Drosophila melanogaster: one gene and its partner. Each later gene encodes a partner of the first gene's protein in a complex. Each region holds a gene or a part of one and is shown in the gene's direction. Other genes may lie near its edges.

Region 1 (7,774 bases):
AGGTGGCTCACTTTTGGTCCAGTCCGCTAGATTCTATAGGTTATCAATGCAATAGGTGATTTATTAATATGATAAGAATTCGAAGTACTCACATTAGATGCGGTCGGTATAAGCTGGCTGCGGCAATTCTGAAGATCTTCTATAGAATCATCACCCATATGCCCATAGAACTGCAACTCCTCCGGAGAACCTCCGGCTGTGATGAGAGTATATATTTTGGTATCCATTGCTCCAACGGCCAGCAGTTGGTTGGCTTGCTGCCTGGAATTGTGATTATAAATAATTAGGTGTTTGCAGCGAAGAGCTCGAAGCGCCGACAAGTCACTGGTCAAAATCAAGCCAATCATTGGTTCTCCATCGGCAAGAGAATTAAATAAGTTCACTTTTTGGGGACCATCTAGCTGCGCATGGTCCAAACTATAACTCTGACAGTATCCCCTGACCAGGGTGAGGCAATCCTCACTGTTTGCCAAGATGCAGCACTTCTCGCCTCGCTCCGCCACTAAGTGATCCAGCATTACGTGTAGAAACTCGAACTTGGCGGAGTCGTAAAGTCCCATGCTTGGCCAAGGCGGCAGTATGGCGTCCAGTACCTCCATTATTTCCTTAAACACTGGATTCGTACCCAAAGTTTTTAGGAGCACAGGATGATCACATACAATTTGGAAGATTTCCTTCAACGTAGACGATTCCTGAAATACAAGTTTTTTGATTTGTTTATGCATGTAAATTGGTCTAAATCTATCTTACTGTTTTAGATGTTTGTGCATATTCAGAAACAAAGAGTAATATTTTTTTCTGCAGTTCAGCTGGAGTTAATAGACACAGATATTCCGATTGGGTGAACTCCTTGGTAGGGTTTTCTATCTTCAAAGTGTTTTGTTCATAGATTTTCTTTCCCATCGAAGTGCTGGAATCGGCGGCTGCATAGGAGACATGTTTATCTTCTCTATGTTGGCTAATTTCCAAATGCGGTGGAGCAAAGGCATCTGCCTCGCGCTTGATCTTCTTGAGCAGATGAGACCTAACGGGTGCACTGTCAGCAGGTGGTGGCGATGTGTCTGTACAACCATTCTGGGCATCTATTTTTTGGCACCAGTTGGCTATTTCCAACTGGCGCTGAATAAGGCACTCCTCGACGGTTTTAATCTCCTCCTGAATCTCGACATCCTTGCTGCCTACTTCCAGCTGATCGTTCTCCTGAAGTTGCCGCTGCTTAAAGTATGTCATGGTGTCCACAACCTTGCCGGTGTCATCCTTCAATGTTACTATGGATCCCGTGACCACCAGCGTTCCGTTGCCAGTCCACGTTTTGTGCTTTTTGGTGGTCTGATTACGCCAGAGCACATGGAAGATGCGGCTATCTTTGAGGGGATTCTCGCCCGCCCTGAATTCTCGAGGTCCCAGGCTTTGGGTGCCCCCTGAGGTGCCCCATTCGCTGGGTAGATTGTTTTTGGGCCAGGAGCAGGGTGACTGTGGTTCCTCTTTGGGAGGCGCCGCTTCGCTCTCTCGCTTTGCAGCGCGGCGCATGGAAGGAGCTTTGGAACGCCGCTTTATGGTGCTAAAGAAGAGGATTACCGGGTATAGTTCACCGTAAATACATAAGTTAATTTAAAAACTTTTGCTATCAACAAAATATAAATATACAAGGCGCAATCTATTTTCAAGCCACTTGTAAGTGTGGCCAATGAAGTGAACCTCGAAAGGTATTCCGAACCCTGGTCACACTGGCATTCTGCTGGTAGCCGGCTCTGGATGATTTTCTGATAGAAATCTCGCAGAGGCAGTGGTGTTTTTGTGAATCCCCTCAGCCACGATGGCGTTCCACTGGTGCGACAACAATCTGCACACCACCGTGTTCACGCCGCGCGACTTTCAGGTGGAGCTACTGGCCACCGCCTACGAGCGGAACACGATTATTTGCCTGGGCCATCGAAGTTCCAAGGAGTTTATAGCCCTCAAGCTGCTCCAGGAGCTGTCGCGTCGAGCACGCCGACATGGTCGTGTCAGTGTCTATCTCAGTTGCGAGGTTGGCACCAGCACGGAACCATGCTCCATCTACACGATGCTCACCCACTTGACTGACCTGCGGGTGTGGCAGGAGCAGCCGGATATGCAAATTCCCTTTGATCATTGCTGGACGGACTATCACGTTTCCATCCTACGGCCAGAGGGATTTCTTTATCTGCTCGAAACTCGCGAGCTGCTGCTGAGCAGCGTCGAACTGATCGTGCTGGAAGATTGTCATGACAGCGCCGTTTATCAGAGGATAAGGCCTCTGTTCGAGAATCACATTATGCCAGCGCCACCGGCGGACAGGCCACGGATTCTCGGACTCGCTGGACCGCTGCACAGCGCCGGATGTGAGCTGCAGCAACTGAGCGCCATGCTGGCCACCCTGGAGCAGAGTGTGCTTTGCCAGATCGAGACGGCCAGTGATATTGTCACCGTGTTGCGTTACTGTTCCCGACCGCACGAATACATCGTACAGTGCGCCCCCTTCGAGATGGACGAACTGTCCCTGGTGCTTGCCGATGTGCTCAACACACACAAGTCCTTTTTATTGGACCACCGCTACGATCCCTACGAAATCTACGGCACAGACCAGTTTATGGACGAACTGAAAGACATACCCGATCCCAAGGTGGACCCCCTGAACGTCATCAACTCACTACTGGTCGTGCTGCACGAGATGGGTCCTTGGTGCACGCAGCGGGCTGCACATCACTTTTACCAATGCAATGAGAAGTTAAAGGTGAAGACGCCGCACGAACGTCACTACTTGCTGTACTGCCTAGTGAGCACGGCCCTTATCCAACTGTACTCCCTCTGCGAACACGCATTCCATCGACATTTAGGAAGTGGCAGCGATTCACGCCAGACCATCGAACGCTATTCCAGCCCCAAGGTGCGACGTCTGTTGCAGACACTGAGGTGCTTCAAGCCGGAAGAGGTGCACACCCAAGCGGACGGACTGCGCAGAATGCGGCATCAGGTGGATCAGGCGGACTTCAATCGGTTATCTCATACGCTGGAAAGCAAGTGCCGAATGGTGGATCAAATGGACCAACCGCCGACGGAGACACGAGCCCTGGTGGCCACTCTTGAGCAGATTCTGCACACGACAGAGGACAGGCAGACGAACAGAAGCGCCGCTCGGGTGACTCCTACTCCTACTCCCGCTCATGCGAAGCCGAAACCTAGCTCTGGTGCCAACACTGCACAACCACGAACTCGTAGACGTGTGTACACCAGGCGCCACCACCGGGATCACAATGATGGCAGCGACACGCTCTGCGCACTGATTTACTGCAACCAGAACCACACGGCTCGCGTGCTCTTTGAGCTTCTAGCGGAGATTAGCAGACGTGATCCCGATCTCAAGTTCCTACGCTGCCAGTACACCACGGACCGGGTGGCAGATCCCACCACGGAGCCCAAAGAGGCTGAGTTGGAGCACCGGCGGCAGGAAGAGGTGCTAAAGCGCTTCCGCATGCATGACTGCAATGTCCTGATCGGTACTTCGGTGCTGGAAGAGGGCATCGATGTGCCCAAGTGCAATTTGGTTGTGCGCTGGGATCCGCCAACCACATATCGCAGTTACGTTCAGTGCAAAGGTCGAGCCCGTGCTGCTCCAGCCTATCATGTCATTCTCGTCGCTCCGAGTTATAAAAGCCCAACTGTGGGGTCAGTGCAGCTGACCGATCGGAGTCATCGGTATATTTGCGCGACTGGTGATACTACAGAGGCGGACAGCGACTCTGATGATTCAGCGATGCCAAACTCGTCCGGCTCGGATCCCTATACTTTTGGCACGGCACGCGGAACCGTGAAGATCCTCAACCCCGAAGTGTTCAGTAAACAACCACCGACAGCGTGCGACATTAAGCTGCAGGAGATCCAGGACGAATTGCCAGCCGCAGCGCAGCTGGATACGAGCAACTCCAGCGACGAAGCCGTCAGCATGAGTAACACGTCTCCAAGCGAGAGCAGTACAGAACAAAAATCCAGACGCTTCCAGTGCGAGCTGAGCTCTTTAACGGAGCCAGAAGACACAAGTGATACTACAGCCGAAATCGATACTGCTCATAGTTTAGCCAGCACCACGAAGGACTTGGTGCATCAAATGGCACAGTATCGCGAAATCGAGCAGATGCTGCTATCCAAGTGCGCCAACACAGAGCCGCCGGAGCAGGAGCAGAGTGAGGCGGAACGTTTTAGTGCCTGCCTGGCCGCATACCGACCCAAGCCGCACCTGCTAACAGGCGCCTCCGTGGATCTGGGTTCTGCTATAGCTTTGGTCAACAAGTACTGCGCCCGACTGCCAAGCGACACGTTCACCAAGTTGACGGCGTTGTGGCGCTGCACCCGAAACGAAAGGGCTGGAGTGACCCTGTTTCAGTACACACTCCGTCTGCCCATCAACTCGCCATTGAAGCATGACATTGTGGTAAGTACTTGTAATACGAATTATTTAAGATTTGTTAAATACTCTTCTTTAGGGTCTTCCGATGCCAACTCAAACATTGGCCCGCCGACTGGCTGCCTTGCAGGCTTGCGTGGAACTGCACAGGATCGGTGAGTTAGACGATCAGTTGCAGCCTATCGGCAAGGAGGGATTTCGTGCCCTGGAGCCGGACTGGGAGTGCTTTGAACTGGAGCCAGAGGACGAACAGATTGTGCAGCTAAGCGATGAACCACGTCCGGGAACAACGAAGCGTCGTCAGTACTATTACAAACGCATTGCATCCGAATTTTGCGATTGCCGTCCCGTTGCCGGAGCGCCATGCTATTTGTACTTTATCCAACTGACGCTCCAATGTCCGATTCCCGAAGAGCAAAACACGCGGGGACGCAAGATTTATCCGCCCGAAGATGCGCAGCAGGGATTCGGCATTCTAACCACCAAACGGATACCCAAGCTGAGTGCTTTCTCGATATTCACGCGTTCCGGTGAGGTGAAGGTTTCCCTGGAGTTAGCTAAGGAACGCGTGATTCTAACTAGCGAACAAATAGTCTGCATCAACGGATTTTTAAACTACACGTTCACCAATGTACTGCGTTTGCAAAAGTTTCTGATGCTCTTCGATCCGGACTCCACGGAAAATTGTGTATTCATTGTGCCCACCGTGAAGGCACCAGCTGGCGGCAAGCACATCGACTGGCAGTTTCTGGAGCTGATCCAAGCGAATGGAAATACAATGCCACGGGCAGTGCCCGATGAGGAGCGCCAGGCGCAGCCGTTTGATCCGCAACGCTTCCAGGATGCCGTCGTTATGCCGTGGTATCGCAACCAGGATCAACCGCAGTATTTCTATGTGGCGGAGATATGTCCACATCTATCCCCACTCAGCTGCTTCCCTGGTGACAACTACCGCACGTTCAAGCACTACTACCTCGTCAAGTATGGTCTGACCATACAGAATACCTCGCAGCCGCTATTGGACGTGGATCACACCAGTGCGCGGTTAAACTTCCTCACGCCACGATACGTTAATCGCAAGGGCGTTGCTCTGCCCACTAGTTCGGAGGAGACAAAGCGGGCAAAGCGCGAGAATCTCGAACAGAAGCAGATCCTTGTGCCAGAGCTCTGCACTGTGCATCCATTCCCCGCCTCCTTGTGGCGAACTGCCGTGTGCCTGCCCTGCATCCTGTACCGCATAAATGGTCTTCTATTGGCCGACGATATTCGGAAACAGGTTTCTGCGGATCTGGGGCTGGGAAGGCAACAGATCGAAGATGAGGATTTCGAGTGGCCCATGCTGGACTTTGGGTGGAGTCTATCGGAGGTGCTCAAGAAATCGCGGGAGTCCAAACAAAAGGAGTCCCTTAAGGATGATACTATTAATGGCAAAGACTTAGCTGATGTTGAAAAGAAACCGACTAGCGAGGAGACCCAACTAGATAAGGATTCAAAAGACGATAAGGTTGAGAAAAGTGCTATTGAACTAATCATTGAGGGAGAGGAGAAGCTGCAAGAGGCTGATGACTTCATTGAGATAGGCACTTGGTCAAACGATATGGCCGACGATATAGCTAGTTTTAACCAAGAAGACGACGACGAGGATGACGCCTTCCATCTCCCAGTTTTACCGGCAAACGTTAAGTTCTGTAAGTTATTTAAATCCCTTGCTAAGGATCAGAAATAATCCCTAATACATCTTACAGGTGATCAGCAAACGCGCTACGGTTCGCCCACATTTTGGGATGTGAGCAATGGCGAAAGCGGCTTCAAGGGTCCAAAGAGCAGTCAGAATAAGCAGGGTGGCAAGGGCAAAGCAAAGGGTCCGGCAAAGCCCACATTTAACTATTATGACTCGGACAATTCGCTGGGTTCCAGCTACGATGACGACGATAACGCAGGTCCGCTCAATTACATGCATCACAACTACAGTTCGGATGACGACGATGTGGCAGATGATATCGATGCGGGACGCATTGCGTTCACCTCCAAGAATGAAGCGGAGACTATTGAAACCGCACAGGAAGTGGAAAAGCGCCAGAAGCAGCTGTCCATCATCCAGGCGACCAATGCTAACGAGCGGCAGTATCAGCAGACAAAGAACCTGCTCATTGGATTCAATTTTAAGCATGAGGACCAGAAGGAACCTGCCACTATAAGATATGAAGAATCCATAGCTAAGCTCAAAACGGAAATAGAATCCGGCGGCATGTTGGTGCCGCACGACCAGCAGTTGGTTCTAAAAAGAAGTGATGCCGCTGAGGCTCAGGTTGCAAAGGTATCGATGATGGAGCTATTGAAGCAGCTGCTGCCGTATGTAAATGAAGATGTGCTGGCCAAAAAGCTGGGTGATAGGCGCGAGCTTCTGCTGTCGGATTTGGTAGAGCTAAATGCAGATTGGGTAGCGCGACATGAGCAGGAGACCTACAATGTAATGGGATGCGGAGATAGTTTTGACAACTATAACGATCATCATCGGCTGAACTTGGATGAAAAGCAACTGAAACTGCAATACGAACGAATTGAAATTGAGCCACCTACTTCCACGAAGGCCATAACCTCAGCCATATTACCAGCTGGCTTCAGTTTCGATCGACAACCGGATCTAGTGGGCCATCCAGGACCCAGTCCCAGCATCATTTTGCAAGCCCTCACAATGTCCAATGCTAACGATGGCATCAATCTGGAGCGACTGGAGACAATTGGAGATTCCTTTCTAAAGTATGCCATTACCACCTACTTGTACATCACCTACGAGAATGTGCACGAGGGAAAACTAAGTCACCTGCGCTCCAAGCAGGTTGCCAATCTCAATCTCTATCGTCTGGGCAGACGTAAGAGACTGGGTGAATATATGATAGCCACTAAATTCGAGCCGCACGACAATTGGCTGCCACCCTGCTACTACGTGCCAAAGGAGCTAGAGAAGGCGCTCATCGAGGCGAAGATCCCCACTCACCATTGGAAGCTGGCCGATCTGCTAGACATTAAGAACCTAAGCAGTGTGCAAATCTGCGAGATGGTTCGCGAAAAAGCCGATGCCCTGGGCTTGGAGCAGAATGGGGGTGCCCAAAATGGACAACTTGACGACTCCAATGATAGCTGCAATGATTTTAGCTGTTTTATTCCCTACAACCTTGTTTCGCAACACAGCATTCCGGATAAGTCTATTGCCGATTGCGTCGAAGCCCTCATTGGAGCCTATCTCATTGAGTGCGGACCCCGAGGGGCTTTACTCTTTATGGCCTGGCTGGGCGTGAGAGTGCTCCCTATCACAAGGCAGTTGGACGGGGGTAACCAGGAGCAACGAAT
Region 2 (5,522 bases), on another chromosome or scaffold:
TGGACACTGCCCAGGTTGCCAATGCCGTAGAGACCAAGGAGGGACTGGAGGATGATGGTGTGGAGAGCGCTTTCAATGTGCTGGGTAAGTTGATACCAATTATCTAATATGTATCTTATCTTTAGAATACGTGTCTCAAACACGATTTCTCAAATGAGATTCCGCTTTCAATATTCCTATAGAGAGCATACAACAATGGTTTACTCTGTATTTCACCATGAGAGCAAACTATTTTAAATTTAAATTTAAAAAAATATTTCCATTTACCACATAATAGCAAGAAAGTATAATTGTATTGTATTATGCATTTGTGTTGCAGGCGAGGTTTCGGAGTGCGTCAAAACAGGACTTTGGGTGGGAGACTGCTTCATCTATACCAACTCGGTGAACCGCATCAACTACTACGTGGGCGGCGAGATTGTGACAGTATCCCACTTAGACCGCACAATGTATCTGCTGGGCTACGTGCCCAAGGACAATCGTATTTACCTCGGCGATAAGGAGTTGAACGTGATCAGTTTCTGTCTGCAGCTGTCCGTGCTGGAGTACCAGACGGCGGTTATGCGAAGAGACTTTGAGCGCGCAGACGTTGTGCTACCGACCATTCCCAAGGAGCACCGCACTAGGGTGGCACATTTTCTGGAGAAACAGGGCTTTAAGTCGCAGGCCCTGCAAGTCTCTACCGATGCCGACCATAAGTTTGACTTGGCCTTACAGATCGGAGATTTGGAAATCGCCTTAAAGCTGGCCCGTGAGTCGGAGAACTCCCAGAAGTGGTCACAGCTGGCAGATGTGGCGTCTAGCAAGAACAACATGTCTCTGGTTAAAGAGTGCATGCAGAAGGCAAACGACTTAAGCGGTCTATTGCTGCTCTCAACAGCTTCCGGCGATGCCCAGCTGCTCGAGGTGGTGGGTGCGGCTGGCTCGGCCCAGGGACATCACAATCTAGCTTTCCTCTCGGCGTTCCTTCGTTCAGACGTGGAACGCTGCTTGGAGATTCTCATTGAGACAAATCGGTTGCCAGAGGCAGCGTTCTTTGCCCGCACCTACCTGCCCAGCCAGATGTCAAGGATCGTAGAGCTTTGGCGGGAGAAGCTTGGAAAGGTCAACGAAAAGGCGGGACAGTCGCTGGCCGATCCGGCACAGTATACAAATCTCTTCCCTGGCCTGGGCGATGCGCTGCGGGTGGAGCAGCATTTGCAGGAGGAGCGAGCTCGTAAGGCGCCGGCACGCCTCGCTGCGAATCTACCACTGAATAGCGAACGTCATCCTCTGCAAGAACTATTTGCCGCCGAGCAGGGTGCCGCCGGCCAGCATTTGGAGGAGAAGGTGAAGCCAGCTTACGTTCCCGCTCAAGCTGTTGTTTCTAGCAGCCAGGTGGCCGAGCCTACATCCGCTGCGGATGACGACGACGACCTGGACTTGGAAATAGATGGAATTACGTTGGATGATAACATTGATACGACAGATGTGAACCTCGATGACGATTTTCTAAGCGACGATTAGGACGGAAGATCACAGCCAGATCTAGAATACCATTTAAACTATCGTTTACTGCTACGGGAGTCCCACATTTCGTGCATTTCGAGCCACAGAATTCCGCGCATGCATTCACATTTGATTTGATTGAATGTTGTTTAAATATATATCTATTAATAATATGTACAACAGTAATGGAGCAAACACTGCAATAAATACTTATACAACAATTTCAAATATGGCGCTCACTTCAACTATTTCGATTACATTCTGATATCTTATCGATAAAACTTTTAAACAAACTTACGATCATGCCAGGAGAAATTAAAAATTATTTTTGTTCTTTTTTTTTTTTGAGTTAAATTAGTATTCATGGTCTATTTTATTATATATTTGTACAAAAAAATGTTCTGTACCTGTTACATACATTTATTTCAACATATTTACTCTACGAGTAGGGGGTGTAATAAGTAGGCAATCCAAAAAAAGTCTGGCAACCACAAATATCAGTAAAATACATACAATTCGTGTGTGCGTCTGGATTTTGCTGTATTTTTTATTTAAGAATGAATTATTAACTAACCATTAATAAATTATTATTAAATAAAAAACAGTTAAAACCGCGATTCAAACGTGAGTACTCCCCGAATTTCGGCGAGAGTGTCAACTGGACTTTTCGCCCGCTATTCGTCGGTGATGTATCGATTTTTCAAACAACAATTACCCCGAAATTTTAAACAGATACACACCGAATCCTCCCGAAAACCGTGCAAAACAAGAACACCATGGACCAGGAGAATTTCCACGGCTCCAGCTTGCCGCAGCAGCTACAGAACCTCCACATCCAGCCGCAGCAGGCGTCCCCCAATCCTGTCCAGACGGGATTTGCTCCACGGCGGCACTATAATAACCTTGTCGGCCTGGGCAATGGAAATGCCGTCAGTGGTAGTCCGGTGAAGGGTGCTCCGCTGGGGCAGCGCCATGTGAAGCTCAAGAAGGAGAAGATATCCGCCCAGGTTGCGCAGCTGTCTCAGCCAGGTCAGCTGCAGCTGTCAGATGTTGGTGATCCTGCCTTGGCGGGCGGATCGGGCTTACAAGGTGGAGTCGGCCTTATGGGCGTAATATTGCCCAGCGACGAGGCCTTAAAGTTCGTCAGCGAAACGGACGCCAATGGACTGGCCATGAAGACGCCCGTCAGCATTCTGCAAGAGCTGCTAAGCCGACGAGGAATTACTCCCGGCTATGAACTTGTCCAGATCGAGGGCGCCATACATGAGCCGACCTTCCGGTTTCGCGTGTCCTTTAAAGACAAGGATACGCCCTTCACGGCCATGGGGGCAGGACGATCGAAGAAGGAGGCCAAGCATGCGGCGGCCCGTGCGCTCATCGACAAGCTGATCGGCGCGCAGCTGCCGGAATCGCCTAGCAGCTCCGCTGGTCCGTCGGTGACTGGGCTCACGGTCGCCGGAAGCGGAGGAGACGGCAATGCCAATGCCACAGGCGGAGGAGAGTGAGTTTTTATTCTATTGATGTCTAAGATATGATTCTAAGATATCCAATTTATTGTATTATGTCCTTGCAGTGCCAGCGACAAGACCGTTGGTAATCCGATTGGCTGGTTGCAGGAAATGTGCATGCAACGGCGATGGCCACCGCCGTCGTACGAAACGGAAACGGAAGTGGGTCTTCCCCACGAGCGGCTCTTTACGATCGCCTGCTCGATACTCAACTACCGCGAGATGGGCAAGGGCAAAAGCAAGAAGATAGCCAAGCGCTTGGCCGCCCACCGCATGTGGATGCGTCTGCAGGAGACTCCCATCGATTCGGGCAAAATCAGCGACAGCATCTGCGGCGAGTTGGAGGGCGAAGTGAGTATCATTCAAGACATCGATCGTTACGAGCAAGTCTCTAAAGATTTTGAGTTCATCAAGATCTAACCCACAAGCAATTTTCTAATATTTTTAGTGCAATTATTTTGAATGCAGTCCCATGCTTTAGTTTATAAAATTTTAAAAATTGATTTTATCAAATATATGTCATAAATGTTATATATTATTTAATACGTTTGTCCTCTATCCCTTCTCAAATGTAATGTAGAACGTTTAGAGTAATCCTCAGTTGTAAATATCCCTATAATCTTTTAAATTATGTATCTAGCTAGAGTTTTAGTACTATAGCATCCCTTTTATAGTGTGCTATCTGATATTTTTTATTGTCCTTGTTTTTATAACTAATGTTTTTGACATAATTATACATATAATTAACATAATGCTTACACCTTATTTATATTTCTGGTTTTATTTATGGTTTATATTGGCTTATTTCATTTTTCATTTTTCATATTGTTCCTTGGCATGGTGATTGTTTTAAAGAACGAATCTGTAAAGCACCTTTTCCACACAAAAGTGATATGTTTCAACTCACCATTGGCGTGTGTGATTTCAAATGTGTGCGAAATGCAATGGAGAAAAGAAACCAAAAACTTTGCGCTCTTATTTACAGCCCCGCAGTAGTGAAAATTATTATGGTGAATTGAAAGATATCTCTGTGCCGACACTGACCACGCAGCACAGTAACAAAGTATCCCAGTTCCATAAGACCCTAAAAAATGCAACGGGCAAAAAACTGCTTAAGTTACAGGTAAATTTCAATCCAATAACGCTTTTTATTCAAAAACGATCACAAACATATTTCCAACATTCAAAACCTGCTTTCGAAAGTACATATTTGCCTTAACCCCTCACAATCCTTATAATAATAGTGTTCTTGCTTGAAAGTTCAAAGTTTAATTTGACTCTGCTAATTCGACTCCATTTGTATTTTTTTCAGAAGACTTGCTTGAAGAACAACAAGATTGATTACATCAAGCTGCTGGGCGAAATCGCCACGGAGAACCAGTTCGAGGTGACCTATGTGGACATAGAGGAGAAGACCTTCTCTGGCCAGTTCCAGTGCCTGGTTCAACTGTCCACGCTGCCCGTTGGCGTTTGCCACGGCAGCGGACCAACAGCTGCCGATGCCCAGCGGCATGCCGCCCAGAATGCCCTCGAGTACTTGAAGATCATGACCAAGAAGTAGGGGGTGCAGCCAACTGAATAGCAAAATCTGAACGCACACCACGACCACGATCACGAGTATTTGATGAGAGCGATTACCGAGTGGATACGGGATAACTAATGCACCAGTCTAATTGCTTTTCTTTCCACTTTTTGGCTCAATGCAGTGGCGATGTTACATATATATATATATATATTTTGTTTCTTTTCCACCGATTCCTTTGATTAGGCAGTTGTATTTGTTAACTGCATATGTAAATGTTCATATATGTACTACACTTACCGATGAATGTATGTACGCTTGCAAATACAGACAAGCGTGTAATCGATATTGGAATCTTCTAGTCGCTTTCAAATTCTGAAAAACGTAAAACGGCAGATAAAACTAGGTTTAAGGTAGACTACGTGCTAGTTTGCGAAGGAAAAAGGCTTATGAATATAATCGGTATTTGGTAATCGCTACTTTTGCAGTTTTCTTTTCCTTGGGCTGAAAAACTTTGTAAACTCCGAATTAAAGGGCATTGATGAATTGAAATTAATCAATCCAACTTTAGAAATATTCTGTGAAAACATCTTTTATGATATGGAATTATTTAACTACAAATTAGTTAGGAAATAAATTGACAAATATAATACTGAAGTTATAGTAGCCGTGGCTTTATTTAAATAGGTAATTTTGTGCTTAATCTAAAGTAGTATTCTAAGTAATCATAAAGGATTGCATCTATTTCTTCTTTCTGTCCTGCGTACACTTGGGACAGAACCACTTGCCCTTTGGCTTTGTGGTGAGGCCAACACAAGCGAAGTGAAACCACTCGATGGGACACTAAAATGGTAGAGTGAAAGATCTAGAACTGACCACAGAGTACATCAAAATCGAATACTCACGTCGGGATTGTCGCAGCCAATCATCTCTCCATAGGACACCTGGTGGCATAGGCAATATGTGGGCTCATTGGGATCGACGGGCATGTCCATAACGTCGCT

What was found. The genes of interacting proteins can lie anywhere in the genome.
Region 2: the proteins of Dcr-1 (region 1) and loqs are in contact, whole or in part, in a cryo-EM structure (PDB 8DGJ), measured with the Drosophila melanogaster proteins. Residues at the interface, in NP_524453.1 of Drosophila melanogaster: His245 (codon at 2,549), Phe248 (codon at 2,558), Asp251 (codon at 2,567), His252 (codon at 2,570), Arg253 (codon at 2,573), Asp255 (codon at 2,579), Glu258 (codon at 2,588), Ile259 (codon at 2,591), His303 (codon at 2,723), Tyr306 (codon at 2,732), Gln307 (codon at 2,735), Glu310 (codon at 2,744), Lys311 (codon at 2,747), Lys313 (codon at 2,753), Arg320 (codon at 2,774), Leu323 (codon at 2,783), Cys326 (codon at 2,792), Leu327 (codon at 2,795), Ser329 (codon at 2,801), Thr330 (codon at 2,804), Ile333 (codon at 2,813), Gln334 (codon at 2,816), Tyr336 (codon at 2,822), Ser337 (codon at 2,825), Leu338 (codon at 2,828), Glu340 (codon at 2,834), His341 (codon at 2,837); in NP_609646.1 of Drosophila melanogaster: Thr358 (codon at 4,042), Gln359 (codon at 4,045), His360 (codon at 4,048), Ser361 (codon at 4,051), Lys363 (codon at 4,057), Val364 (codon at 4,060), Phe367 (codon at 4,069), His368 (codon at 4,072), Lys372 (codon at 4,084), Ile414 (codon at 4,399), Glu415 (codon at 4,402), Glu416 (codon at 4,405), Lys417 (codon at 4,408), Thr418 (codon at 4,411), Phe419 (codon at 4,414), Gln422 (codon at 4,423), Gln424 (codon at 4,429), Pro433 (codon at 4,456), Val434 (codon at 4,459), Gly435 (codon at 4,462), Val436 (codon at 4,465), His438 (codon at 4,471), Ser440 (codon at 4,477), Asn454 (codon at 4,519), Tyr458 (codon at 4,531), Ile461 (codon at 4,540), Met462 (codon at 4,543), Lys464 (codon at 4,549), Lys465 (codon at 4,552).

The regions. Positions count from the first base shown.
Region 1 is NT_033777.3:22,735,073-22,742,846, reverse strand, and holds the start of Dcr-1 (Dicer-1), read left to right. Parts: upstream 1-1,755; 5' UTR 1,756-1,816; coding exon 1,817-4,450; intron 4,451-4,502; coding exon 4,503-6,111; intron 6,112-6,168; coding exon 6,169-7,774. Other genes in the region: CG6985 (uncharacterized protein), read right to left, coding at 1-33, 93-692, 751-1,530. UniProt on the Drosophila melanogaster protein: Endoribonuclease which functions in microRNA- (miRNA) gene silencing and, independently of its ribonuclease III activity, also acts in the short interfering RNA- (siRNA) gene silencing pathway.
Region 2 is NT_033779.5:13,380,676-13,386,197, forward strand, and holds loqs (loquacious), read left to right. Parts: upstream 1-1,976; 5' UTR 1,977-2,112; intron 2,113-2,220; 5' UTR 2,221-2,264; coding exon 2,265-2,989; intron 2,990-3,061; coding exon 3,062-3,347; coding exon of another isoform or gene 3,348-3,416; exon of another isoform or gene 3,417-3,490; intron 3,491-3,851; coding exon of another isoform or gene 3,852-3,981; coding exon 3,982-4,119; intron 4,120-4,146; exon of another isoform or gene 4,147-4,308; coding exon 4,309-4,557; 3' UTR 4,558-4,996; downstream 4,997-5,522. Other genes in the region: beta'COP (coat protein (coatomer) beta'), read left to right, coding at 1-84, 320-1,506; Ing5 (inhibitor of growth family member 5), read right to left, coding at 5,260-5,361, 5,424-5,522.